Neodiprion lecontei: one gene and its partners. The protein of the gene in region 2 binds, or shares a complex with, the protein of the main gene of each other region. Links are inferred from orthologs where the notes say so. Each region holds a gene or a part of one and is shown on either strand. Other genes may lie near its edges. The genes, in order: protein brunelleschi, trafficking protein particle complex subunit 8 and trafficking protein particle complex subunit 11.

Region 1 (3,757 bases), about 6.7 Mb from region 2:
TTCACTTTGGTACAAAATAATACTTGAAAATCGTAAAGTGGGGAGTGAGTGTTTACAAGTTTCAAGTCAGTTATGAATCTTTATTTTGACTATTACTGTACACGAACATTCACAGAGCTTAATGTAGTATCTATTTTTACATTGTATAAGAAATCGGTATAATCTAAACTACGAAGGTAGCATTAGAAGGGTTTCAACTTGGCCATCAAATTGGTCCTCCTCATGGCTGCTTTCTTCACCCGCCTCCAGTATTTTTTCGTATCTGGATCCAGCTCTTCCAGTTTAAGAGGTGGGCCTATGTGTATGTCCCAAAGCCAGTCGGGATATTCAGAATCTGGCTTAATCTCAATGTCCTGTCCTTCTTTCATTATATTACTTCCGCACACGAATTTTACCAATTTTTCAGGATCTGTTTCAACTGGAAGTACCTTCCTCTCCAACGGCTGACTTAGTTTCAGCTTTTTTTTCCCCTTTCCGAACATACCACCTGAAACAGGAAATGAAGATAGGACAAAGATGGCACTTACTTTAACTGCTTGCGCAATTAATTGACATCAAAGAAGCAGAGCTATGGTTTTCCATTATCAAGTAGATATATCGAAGTATAACAGTCGAAAGGTAGGAGAAAAGTATTCGACGTTTAAAATACGCGCTCTTGTGGGACAAACACGTGATATATTTTCACCTGTCGGTTGGCAACACGAAATGCCGTTCGTATGTAACTCATAACTTAGTCTAACCTAATCTAAACAATTCCGGAGGAACTATTTTCAATGAAAGATGTGAGAGTTGATATGCATTAATACGTACCGGCATCTGCCTTCGCGTAGCCTTTAATCTGCACGACATATTGTGACGGAACTATAATATTTTTGCCTAAACGAAGCAAACAAAGTGACGAGGAGAGACTCATGATAACACAATCGTGTCCCTCACGCGACCCTCGTGGGAGATAACCAAACTATTTGACCAATTGGACACAACCGTAGAGTACGTATTTGACACTAGAGAGTATGTGCAACAATCACTTCGTTATAGAATCCGGATTTGTGAAAATAAGATTATGTACATATATGACACAAGTCTGCCTTGACAGTTTGACTATTCCATCTGGTTCATCGACATAAATTTATTTCTCATTACTATATTTATGTGGAAATGAAAATCTGGACAGAACAACATCCTTTTGTCCGATTATACAAAATCCATTGATCACGTAAACATTGTAGAACGCTAATAAACTCTGAATTCACACCGGCTATTGACTAATATCACCCAACCTGACCTAACCTAGCTTTTATTTGTCAGCTGAGTTGAAAGCTGTCAAACGGCAATTCCCGATCCATAAATTAAGGCTCTGATCAATTGAATTTCGTTGCACGTCGTTGTACAATGATCACCGCTAAGGTAGGTAGAAACTCGGAAGTTAAAACTTCTCGCAATAAATTAGCAGCGCGGAATAATTATGAATTGACTAATTTTGACTCGTCGAATTTATGTCAATCTTGTAGATGTTCCATTCGCGTTTTCACGAGTATGAATGAAATACACTGAGTGAAAAAGAAAAGAAACACAACAAGAGTAACTTCTCTGTAATCCGTATAAGGTTATCCAAAATGTGCATGTGTACCTAGCAAAACCAAAGAAATATGATATTTGAAGATTGATGTAAGTCTTGAACATTCATGTAATAAACCATCCACTTTCTGTGTCTTCAGGTCACATTTGGTTGTTGCTTGATGGTAGCGTTGGTATAAATGCGGTCTGCAGTCAGTGTAATTCTGTCGAGTTCGGTGCCTGACAACAAGATGTCTCAGCCCGACTATGAGCAGACAGCTCACGACCACGCAGCACTGTTGTTGCTATTGAAGCCAATTGGCACTCAAACGAAGCAGAAGACAGTAACAAAAATAGGAGAGAGAATTATAAAGAGTGGAAGTAGATTTACAGTGCTTGATTCTACCGGTATAACGCGTGAAATTCTTGCCAGATTTGTAAGGGAACATCCAGTTGAAAATAACGATTGGAGTGAATTTCAAACGCACAGAAGACTCCTAGGCCTGATTACTATAGGAAAATATGACAGCCAGACAGAGCTCGATGAGCTCTGTAGACTGCATGAAACTTTGAAAGTGAAATATAGCGCGACCCTCTACGATTCCAGAGCAATTCTTTTTGGACCAGTTGAATCTGAGAATTTAAATGAACCACCGAAACCATTTACGACTCCTTCAAATTTTAAGACAAGGGCGCTGTTCTACGCAGATGAAACTTGCCCAGACCTTGAAGCTCAAATTGCTGAATGTCTAAACTCTCTCTTTTGGATCCTAGAATCTAAAAGACTTGAACGATCCAGGGAAAAAGTTGACCGTGTTCCTTTGCTACTTGCACCGTTTGAAAAGAAGGATTTCATTGGTTTGGACCTTGACTCGGGTACCATGAGAAAGAGGTGCGTCGGACGAATGACCAAACACTTGGGAGATCTTTGCCTCCAGGCCGGCTTACCTGCCGATGCTTTATACCATTACAATTCTGCTGCTAATACTCTGCAAGCTGTTAAGGATTGGCTCTGGCTCGGCGCTGCATTTGAGGGGTTGTGTGCTGCTTCTGTTCTAGTCTTATATCCAAATATGTGTCGGAGTCTTCCCTTACAGAGAAATTCGTCCTTGCAGGAAGGTAGTCCAGGGAAACAAAGGTAAATATAAGTTTTAAAAGTTGTTGAATTGAAAAGTAAGTCTGCAAGGTAATCAAGAATTCCCATTTTCATCTGCAGAAGGGAGTCTCAGGCCTTGAATACTTTGCCACCTTCTCCTAATATAGAGGCGATCAAGGCTGAGATGCCGCAAATTTTACCGCCTGAAGAAATTGCAAAAAAATATCGAGAAGCCATAGTTCACTACAGCAAACACAAAAACGCAGGGGTAATTGAGACGGAAGCAAGTTTCAAGGCGACAAGAATTTCTATAGAACAAAACTGCACTTTGCAGGCAGCTTCTTTTCTCAATAATGTTGTATTCATCAATTTGAACATTAGCGAGCATGAAAAAGTAAGCAAATTCAGTTTTCCACTCATTGCATGTTTTTGAGATAATGCTGAATACGTTGGAAATATTCTGTTCCAGATTGAACGTTTCACTACACTGTCAGAACTGTTCACTGCCTTTGGCTTCACGCGCAAAGCCTCTTTCTGTTTACGTCTAGCTGCTACGAGGCATGTTTCTCAAAATAATCCAAATCCTGATTGGCAGCAGTGTTATAATCTAATGTTGCAAGCGGCACCTGGGCTGAAGCTTAGTCTTGATCCAGTGGAAATGCCTTCTGGTGAGGTTGCGAACAACTTTTCACTAAATTGAACCACCAACAACTGGAAGTATAAACGTCTCACTATTAACTAATTCTCCGGTTTTTCAAGATGGCTTGCGGGGTTGGCCTACTTTACAAATTCAGCTCATACAAGAGCTGGTCGTTGCCGCTAAGCGAATGGGTAATCCAGCCCTCGCCACTCGGCACATGACATTCTTGCTCCAGACTATGTATGATCATATGAGCCCTACAGAACGCAAGGAATCAGCTTTACAACTTCAAGCTGTGTCGCAGCAATGTGAAGGTGCACCAGTGCCCCTTGTATGTTGTTCTTTTTCATGTACTGCCAAGTATGGTTAAGTTATAAAACAATTAGTGTTCATTATAAAAGTGATTGCATTGTTACTTACTACGATATGTCACATGTATTTTTCCTGTGCAGGTGTTAGATTCA
Region 2 (3,757 bases):
CAAATTTAAATTATGAATATGTGAACAAAATATATGAATTCGTAAAAATCTTATAGAAGATTGACACAGAAGAACCCTGGTAGAAATTGTATTTCAATTGCGAGTATTGCATTTCAACGGAGATTTAAGAATTTTGTCAACGCATGTTTCTAACCAGATACTAGATAGCAAAACATCGGAACAAAAGATGCAAAGCTTACCAAACACGTAACGTCTGCAGGCTACAGGTTGTCCCGTTGTACTTTAGGTTGTTTCTGAAGATTCAAAGCTGATCTTCACAGCTAATTTTCGATCTTCACTTCACTACCTATGCACCGTGTACACTGTATCACTGATCATGAATGCACCACAAAACTATTTTAGGCACCACAGAATCACGCAGAAAATTCACCAAGCCGCAATGCAATGCGTAAAAAATTCTGCATCATTGAAGAGATACGTTAAAATTAAATTTCTGGCGAGGAACAAAGAAACACGTCAGTAACATAAGTATACAAAACTCTGAATTCGAGAGAACTTTTATATTATAATTGTCACATAGTAGGTTAGTTTACACTCACTGTAGGAGACCTGTTGTCAAGTTTTCAATATTATTATTTGCACGATTTGTAATATCACGAATTTTTAAAAAACCTCATCGATAGTTATACTTTCTGACATTAATTCTATCCGTTCGCGAGTTACAATTACTAAGTGAAAAGCAACTTTCGATTTATTATCACAAGACAATCGGTTATCACGTTCTTGAAAGTTTGCTTCACTGTACCAGCGTGAACAAAGTGAGGTTCGGAAATAATAAAGTATATTAGCAATTAGAAAATCAACGAGCGCGTATCCCGAACGAACATGTCCAGATTCGTCGGCGTTCCAGAAACTACTGCGAACTGCTAACAGCATGCAAGATGGCCGACGGTCTGAACTCGGCGGCGTTTCGAACGCCACCATTTGAATACGCATCAGCATGAAATATGCGTCGCAGATGCCAACATTGGATAACGAATTTTTAGGGAATAAACCAAGAATAAACAGCTGTCCGTGGACATGTTCATCATGGTCGCCCCTACAGATATGACGATGGCTACATACTGTCAAAAGTTGTAATTTACCTAGAATTAAGTCAATTAATTAGAGAAGATGAGTGATTGCACATCCAAAATGCAAAAATAGAATTCCAAACCTCTATGTGAATTCATAAATTGGAATAATTTCATATTTATAAAAGGAATAATCATGGCCCAGTGCAAGTTAACCCCACAAGAGTTTATCAGTAACTGTTTTTCACCTCAGATTGCTGCCGTTTGCTCAACTGCTGCAGAAAATACTTGTCAAAAAAATAATTTGACATTTATAGAACTGCTACAACCGTTTTGTAAACTCAATGCTGAAGGTAAAATTTTCATTTGCATTTCATATTAACTGTAGTTTTAAGAGTTCAACGTATTTCACTACCTTATCAGTTCTCGTGTAACTTGAACCCTAGGCGGTTCACACAGCTTTCCACTGAGCACAGAATCCTGTACTTGTTCAATGAATGCAACTGAGAGATTATTTAGGTAACTCAGATGTTATGTCAAATAAACAAAATAGTTCGCAAAATCGAGTGATCTACATGTTTGTTTAAATTCACATAATCATCTGTATCATGTATGTTTCTCATACCATGTTTCTTTTTGCCCCTAATTTTGTGTGAACAGGATTCCAAATAAGTTTCATGTTTTTTTGCCTACACTGTATTAGTATTATTTTTTGCAAATTAGCTTAATTCCAGATTGTTATTTTCATATTCTATGGAAATTGATATCTCACATTACAGCAGCATTATCTTTATAAAATTTTCAACTACATTGTTCATTCATTATTGTCAATATTAACAATTTATAGGGCACATCAAAGATCCACAAGGGGCGGCTGTCACAGTTCGCAACCTTCGTTTATCAGTCCAAGATGTAAACGTACGTCCACCACAGCCTACTTTAGCTCGAAAAATGCTTAATGAGTCCGTTAGCTCTTCACCATGTGAACGAACAACTATTGTGCAAATTGGGACAACGAACTTAGAGATTCCCATGTCCGTCCCATGGTTTGAGTCATGGAGAGAGATGCTTTTGGCTGTACAGTTTCCATCCGATCATGAATTTACTAAACATTTTCTGGCATGCATGATCATTGTTTCAACCGGGGATGATAATCCATTAGAAAAGATTCAGCATATGGGTGCCCAGCTGAATCAAAGTATACCTGGAAAACTGCCAAAATGGTTCAACAATAATGCCTTGAGATATTATATATTGATTCATGATACTTTTCAAGATGATAAAAATAAGTGAGCAGCGTCATTGGATACACTTTTGTTTAAAAATCACTTCATTCCTATGTAATATTTGCATGGAACCAAAAAACCTCACCTTTGAAATAATCTTTCTTTTAGGGCAGAAACAGTGTACACAGATATGAAGAATATTTATGGATCCAACAATTGTTTCTTATTACAAATGAACTCGAGACCACCAGGTCCATTGGACGACACTACACATTTACCAGATCCTTGGTGTCAATTTTTAAGTAAACATTCAGACTTAACAGAAAGCAGTGAACAAAGTAGCTCTCCCAGAACACCAGCAGATACTAGTGGAGTATCTGCAATGCCTAGTCAGGTTACGACTGAACCAGACAGGTGAATATCTTGGCTATTTTACTGGTTTCATTACCACAAATCCAACAAAAACAAATTGTAGCGTTACTATGGTTTTAGTCACTGCAAAGACTGGTGCTTCATGCTCTGCTGTAAACAAATCACTCAACAGCAAGATGAAACCATTTTTTCTTGCTTAGTATCGACTATCAACTTATCCCTCACTATAAACATTCCAAGAAAATAATATCTTCAAAAGTTTAATGTCACATACCTTATCAGTACTGTTAAATTTATGTATAAACCCAACTGTGTCCTTTTTCAGTACTATTATAACAACTATGTATCCGAAATTTTACTGATGCCAGTAGCGGGATAAAATCTGCAACAGCTTCTCCTTTCCCTGAACAGATTGTCTTTCTTTTTTGCGCCTACTGTATTTTATAATTTTTCTCATTGACTAAGTTCAATAGCTATTTTATTATTGTTTACAATTGCTATTGATTTTTAGAACAAGTCTGGCTGGTACCCCAATAGCGCCACGTAATCCAATGTTGGGTTCTCCAGATGTATGTGATACAATAAGCCTTTCATCGGATGCAGCGGAATCATCAATTGGTTCACTTGAAGTTGGACAGGAAGCAGTTCCCGTTACAACTCATCCATTGAGTCCAGAGAATGAGAAATCCTCATGCAATTTTATACCGTCAGTAACCCTGAAAAATCAAATGGAAAATAATACTCCAATTAACGATAACGTTTGGGCAGATTCACCTAGTCAGCCAACCATTCAACATGGTATAAGATTGTCCTCTCAGGATTTGGAGAGGTTACGAACATTGATTACAGAATTTTGTTTGAAAAGTTTACTACCATATGTTGAAAAACAAATTGGACTGCTCAATGATGTTATTTCCAATAAGAAAGGTGTTAGTAGATCCTTATTTAGTGCTACAAAACGTTGGTTTGTTACTAACAAGCCTGGAGCACCTGGATCTGCCCCAGCAAATGCAGTGATGTAAGTACGTACGATGTGAAGACATATTCAATGTCAACCCTATGACTTATGGTCTTACTATTTCTAACGATGTAGTTCAATTGTATTTACTGTTTAATATTGTTATA
Region 3 (3,757 bases), on a different chromosome or scaffold from region 2:
GGATTGCAACAAAAGTAGATTTCTATCAGATTCCTTTTTTGGAAACAGATAATGCCAATGAACAATTTTTTGAATTGAAGAAACGTTGGTATAAGGAGTAAATTTATCTTAGCCATTTTCGAAATCGACTAATACCCAAAATCAATTTCAATTACCTTTTCTGAATTAATTTGGCCCAGAAGAATTCAAGAAAAAGTGTTCCAAACGTAAATGGACCAACACCTAAAGAAATACGAAGCAATTTTTCTGTTTTCGGTTGTAGTTTTCGATTCGTTGATCGCAATGGGTTGAGACTGTGCGCAAACGTTTTTTCTAGCAAAGCTACGTGTACATGGCGTCTCGAAAAATTTAGTCGCGTGTTTTTCGAAATTGCCAATTTGCGACCCGTTTTTACAAATTGGACCAAGAAACTCAACTGAAATAACGTACGGTTAAATGCTAATTATTTGAATTATTTGACTTTAAGGTTTCAGAAATTAACGCAGCGACTTGGGACTCATTTTCCAGCACCGTTTTCCGAAATCTATTCTTGGAAGAGCGTTGAAAATAATAATGAACGTATTTCGAAACGACGTGGTCTCTGTTGTTGACGTTTTATCGTAACAAAATATTGGAAAGAATTTACTATTTAGGAGTTTCCGATACCTTTAAAGACACTCAGATTTCAAAATATGATGTAGGAAGTTTGAAATCTACACACGCCAACGTTCCCAGATTAAAAAATCTGATCTCCACACCACTGATCTCTGTATTAACCGCGACACTGATCCAATGTATATCTATATCCGATTTTTTCATTTCGGATCATTCCGAAATATCCCACATGCCAGCACACATGTCAAAATACGTCCTATCTGTAGATGAAACGCCGTTTTGATGTAAATACTACAAATTGACAAGGTTGTAGTCGGGGTTGCCTGCAACGGGGCGTCGCAATTTCTTCCGTTGAGGCTGTCAACCTTAATTATTCCCAGAACCTCCGCAAATTGTGATGACCGTCAGGAAAGTGTATTTTAAAATTATTCGGAATCATATTTCTCATTTTTTGTGTGAGACTTGATCGGCTTGGGAGTTGACACAATCAATTCATCGTGGATAACAGATTCGTTCTTACTATAGCAGACGTTTCGCCAACGCTTGCGCGGTAGCACGCGATCTGTTACCCACGTATTTCGCATCTTTACTCCGCCCTGACACCGTAGCTGTCATCATTTGAGTTTTCTGTCACTCAAAAAAATCATCAAAACTAGTGGTACAGGGGTCTCTGTAGGGACCCGACAGCCAACTAAAAGACTTAAGAAAAAGAAGAAATCGCCAAATCCTGCATGAGCGCTGAGCCCAGTTTACGCGCAAACCATTCTCAAATAGGTTTAAAACACATTTTGTTAAGTGTGCCTATTTAGCCTAACCTCAATTGAAATGTCAAACTAAATAGATTTGATAACGTTTGAACTCAATAACTTATCACAGCTTTCAAATTGAGATATGTGACCCTTTTAATTTTACAACAGATTCTACTTGGGACTTCTGTTCTGTTATTCCTGGTTCTTGTCCATTGATCCATGTCAGAACTACCTGCAGAATTGACAGCAAAGCCCTTGGCTTTGATCGGTGTTACCGGATTGGATACAGTAAACAATGCGATTCACCGATTGATTTGGGATGCATTCAGCAACAATCGCCGGCCAGACAGTGCAGCTGTTCAGTTTAAAATATTAAGCAATGCCCATGAGTTTCCAACAGTTAAACCAAAGGTCTGTTGACATTAGATCACTCTTCGATACAACAACTCGAATATTCAAGTTATTTCACTAAGAATTTGTCCCCTTAAATTGAATGGCATGACGAATAACTTTCGATGTCTGCTGTAGCGTAACTCCTACGAATGGTACATACCCAAAGGGATATTAAAACGAAATTGGATGAATAAATATCTAAATGACATACCATCCGTCGTTGTTATATTTTATGACTTGGATTGGAATGATTCTATGTGGAATGAAAAAAAGATCGAATGTGCATCGAGAGTTCAATCCTTGAGGTACATGTATCAGATTATTTATTTGGTTACAAATCAAAATATATCTAAGTATAACAAATCTTCAAACAATTATAGAGCTGCTATCGAGGGTAGAAGTACGAAGATTGCTGTAGTTCTAATACAGCATGGAGCACCGCCACAACCAGGCGCTGAAGATGCTGCAACAACTGAGCGTGCTACAGCTTTGTGTGCTGCATGTGAATTGCCAGCTAAATCGTTATATGTCTTACCTCATGGCGATCACTTGTTGGGTTATACTCTAAGGTAGTTGCTTGAAATAATAAAGTGTAATACTTGTTGGTTGTGTGCTCAGCAAGTTTGAATAGGACTAATGACAATCTGTACATGTAGGTTGGAAAATGCCTTCTATGATTTGGCCCAAAACTTCTATCACCTGGAAGCCCGCATCGTGAAAAATCACAGAGATCACCTGAACAAGACTACACATCAATATTTGTTTGTCCGGCATCAGTTTAAGATGGGCTTTCTAAATGAATTGAAACAGGATCAGCACATGGCTCACAAGCAAGTTGTCATTATTTTTCATGTGATATTTCAATCTGGACACCTAATCAACACTAGTAAAAAAAAAAAAACAAGCTTGTTGAGAACTTCGAATCATAGCTAACACTTTTGTATTCAATAACTCAATTCGCGAACCAATCCCTTCTAATCATGCAAGTGTTTATTTCACAGGCATTATCAGTTGGCGTACAATAACTTGCTTGATATACGAATGGTGGACACAAATGCTTTGGAAATAAAGACTGTTGCAAGCTTCATAAATTACAAACTATGTCGTCTAATGTTCAACTTAAATCTTCCCCGTGATGCTATTTCGCAGTTTAGAGCTCACACAGATCGGTATGTATATCTTTACAATATAAAATTTTACATGTACGATTATCTTTCACCAATTACTAGTAGGCCTCAGTACCAGAAAATTGATTGCATTCAAAGGGAATATCATAACTCAAATTCCATATACCATTACAGTTTTAAATTGAAAGTTGGTCCCAAAGAACTAATGTTTGAACATCACGCGTGGATGTCAGGACAGTTCTCCACGTTTGCGGAATTATTTGATGAAGCCATCAGGCAAGGTCTTCCTGCTGTTCAAACTCAGCATCCAGGATACTACTTTCAGCTGGCAGCTCAGCATGCTACTTTGCGGCAAACAGCGTGCAGAGATCTTTGCAAAGTGAGCAGATATTTGACTTGGTTTATATTATTTCATCTATAATGAATCTAAACCTGTATTTGATTATGATTCAGGATGTTAATGAGTATCCCGAACCTGATCCTTTGGCAGGCCAAGACAAACTTGAATATTACGGTCAGAGACCATGGCGTCCAGGGAAATTGAGTGCTGAGCCTGCAGACATGGCACGGGAAGCAGCGGCTATTCAAGCTTTACAACACAAAGAGAAGACTACTGTCAACCATTCTGTAAGTCAATTAATTTCTCAGGAATGCTGAGAGATAATATTGTGATGCGTGTGATAAATTGGTAGCAGAAATAGTTGTTTATAATTTATTTTCAGATGATAATCATCGGTCTTTTAGGACATGCAATTTCCCAATTCAAAACTTATCGATGTCCAAGAATGCGTCGTCATTTAGGTTTGAATACTACCATAACTTTATGCAAATGTATTAATTTGAATATCACTGGCTTCTAAAGAATTAATATTTCAGTTGTACAAATGGCTGATG

Evidence for each region.
Region 1: trafficking protein particle complex subunit 8 (region 2) and protein brunelleschi share a complex: the UniProt entries of both Homo sapiens proteins name them as parts of the multisubunit TRAPP (transport protein particle) complex. The link is inferred for Neodiprion lecontei from reciprocal best matches to the Homo sapiens genes TRAPPC8 and TRAPPC9.
Region 3: trafficking protein particle complex subunit 8 (region 2) and trafficking protein particle complex subunit 11 share a complex: the UniProt entries of both Homo sapiens proteins name them as parts of the multisubunit TRAPP (transport protein particle) complex. The link is inferred for Neodiprion lecontei from reciprocal best matches to the Homo sapiens genes TRAPPC8 and TRAPPC11.

The regions. Positions count from the first base shown.
Region 1 is NC_060260.1:38,739,115-38,742,871, forward strand, and holds the start of protein brunelleschi, read left to right. Parts: upstream 1-1,101; 5' UTR 1,102-1,407; intron 1,408-1,718; 5' UTR 1,719-1,757; coding exon 1,758-2,695; intron 2,696-2,773; coding exon 2,774-3,047; intron 3,048-3,122; coding exon 3,123-3,321; intron 3,322-3,412; coding exon 3,413-3,624; intron 3,625-3,745; coding exon 3,746-3,757. Other genes in the region: 39S ribosomal protein L54, mitochondrial, read right to left, coding at 183-487, 811-913. UniProt on the Homo sapiens protein: Functions as an activator of NF-kappa-B through increased phosphorylation of the IKK complex. May function in neuronal cells differentiation. May play a role in vesicular transport from endoplasmic reticulum to Golgi.
Region 2 is NC_060260.1:32,023,595-32,027,351, reverse strand, and holds the start of trafficking protein particle complex subunit 8, read left to right. Parts: upstream 1-1,048; 5' UTR 1,049-1,230; coding exon 1,231-1,387; intron 1,388-1,881; coding exon 1,882-2,323; intron 2,324-2,428; coding exon 2,429-2,674; intron 2,675-3,143; coding exon 3,144-3,650; intron 3,651-3,757. UniProt on the Homo sapiens protein: Plays a role in endoplasmic reticulum to Golgi apparatus trafficking at a very early stage. Maintains together with TBC1D14 the cycling pool of ATG9 required for initiation of autophagy. Involved in collagen secretion.
Region 3 is NC_060264.1:3,294,779-3,298,535, reverse strand, and holds the start of trafficking protein particle complex subunit 11, read left to right. Parts: upstream 1-985; 5' UTR 986-1,368; intron 1,369-1,511; 5' UTR 1,512-1,562; coding exon 1,563-1,754; intron 1,755-1,871; coding exon 1,872-2,041; intron 2,042-2,116; coding exon 2,117-2,305; intron 2,306-2,392; coding exon 2,393-2,566; intron 2,567-2,737; coding exon 2,738-2,905; intron 2,906-3,037; coding exon 3,038-3,242; intron 3,243-3,316; coding exon 3,317-3,490; intron 3,491-3,585; coding exon 3,586-3,664; intron 3,665-3,739; coding exon 3,740-3,757. UniProt on the Homo sapiens protein: Involved in endoplasmic reticulum to Golgi apparatus trafficking at a very early stage.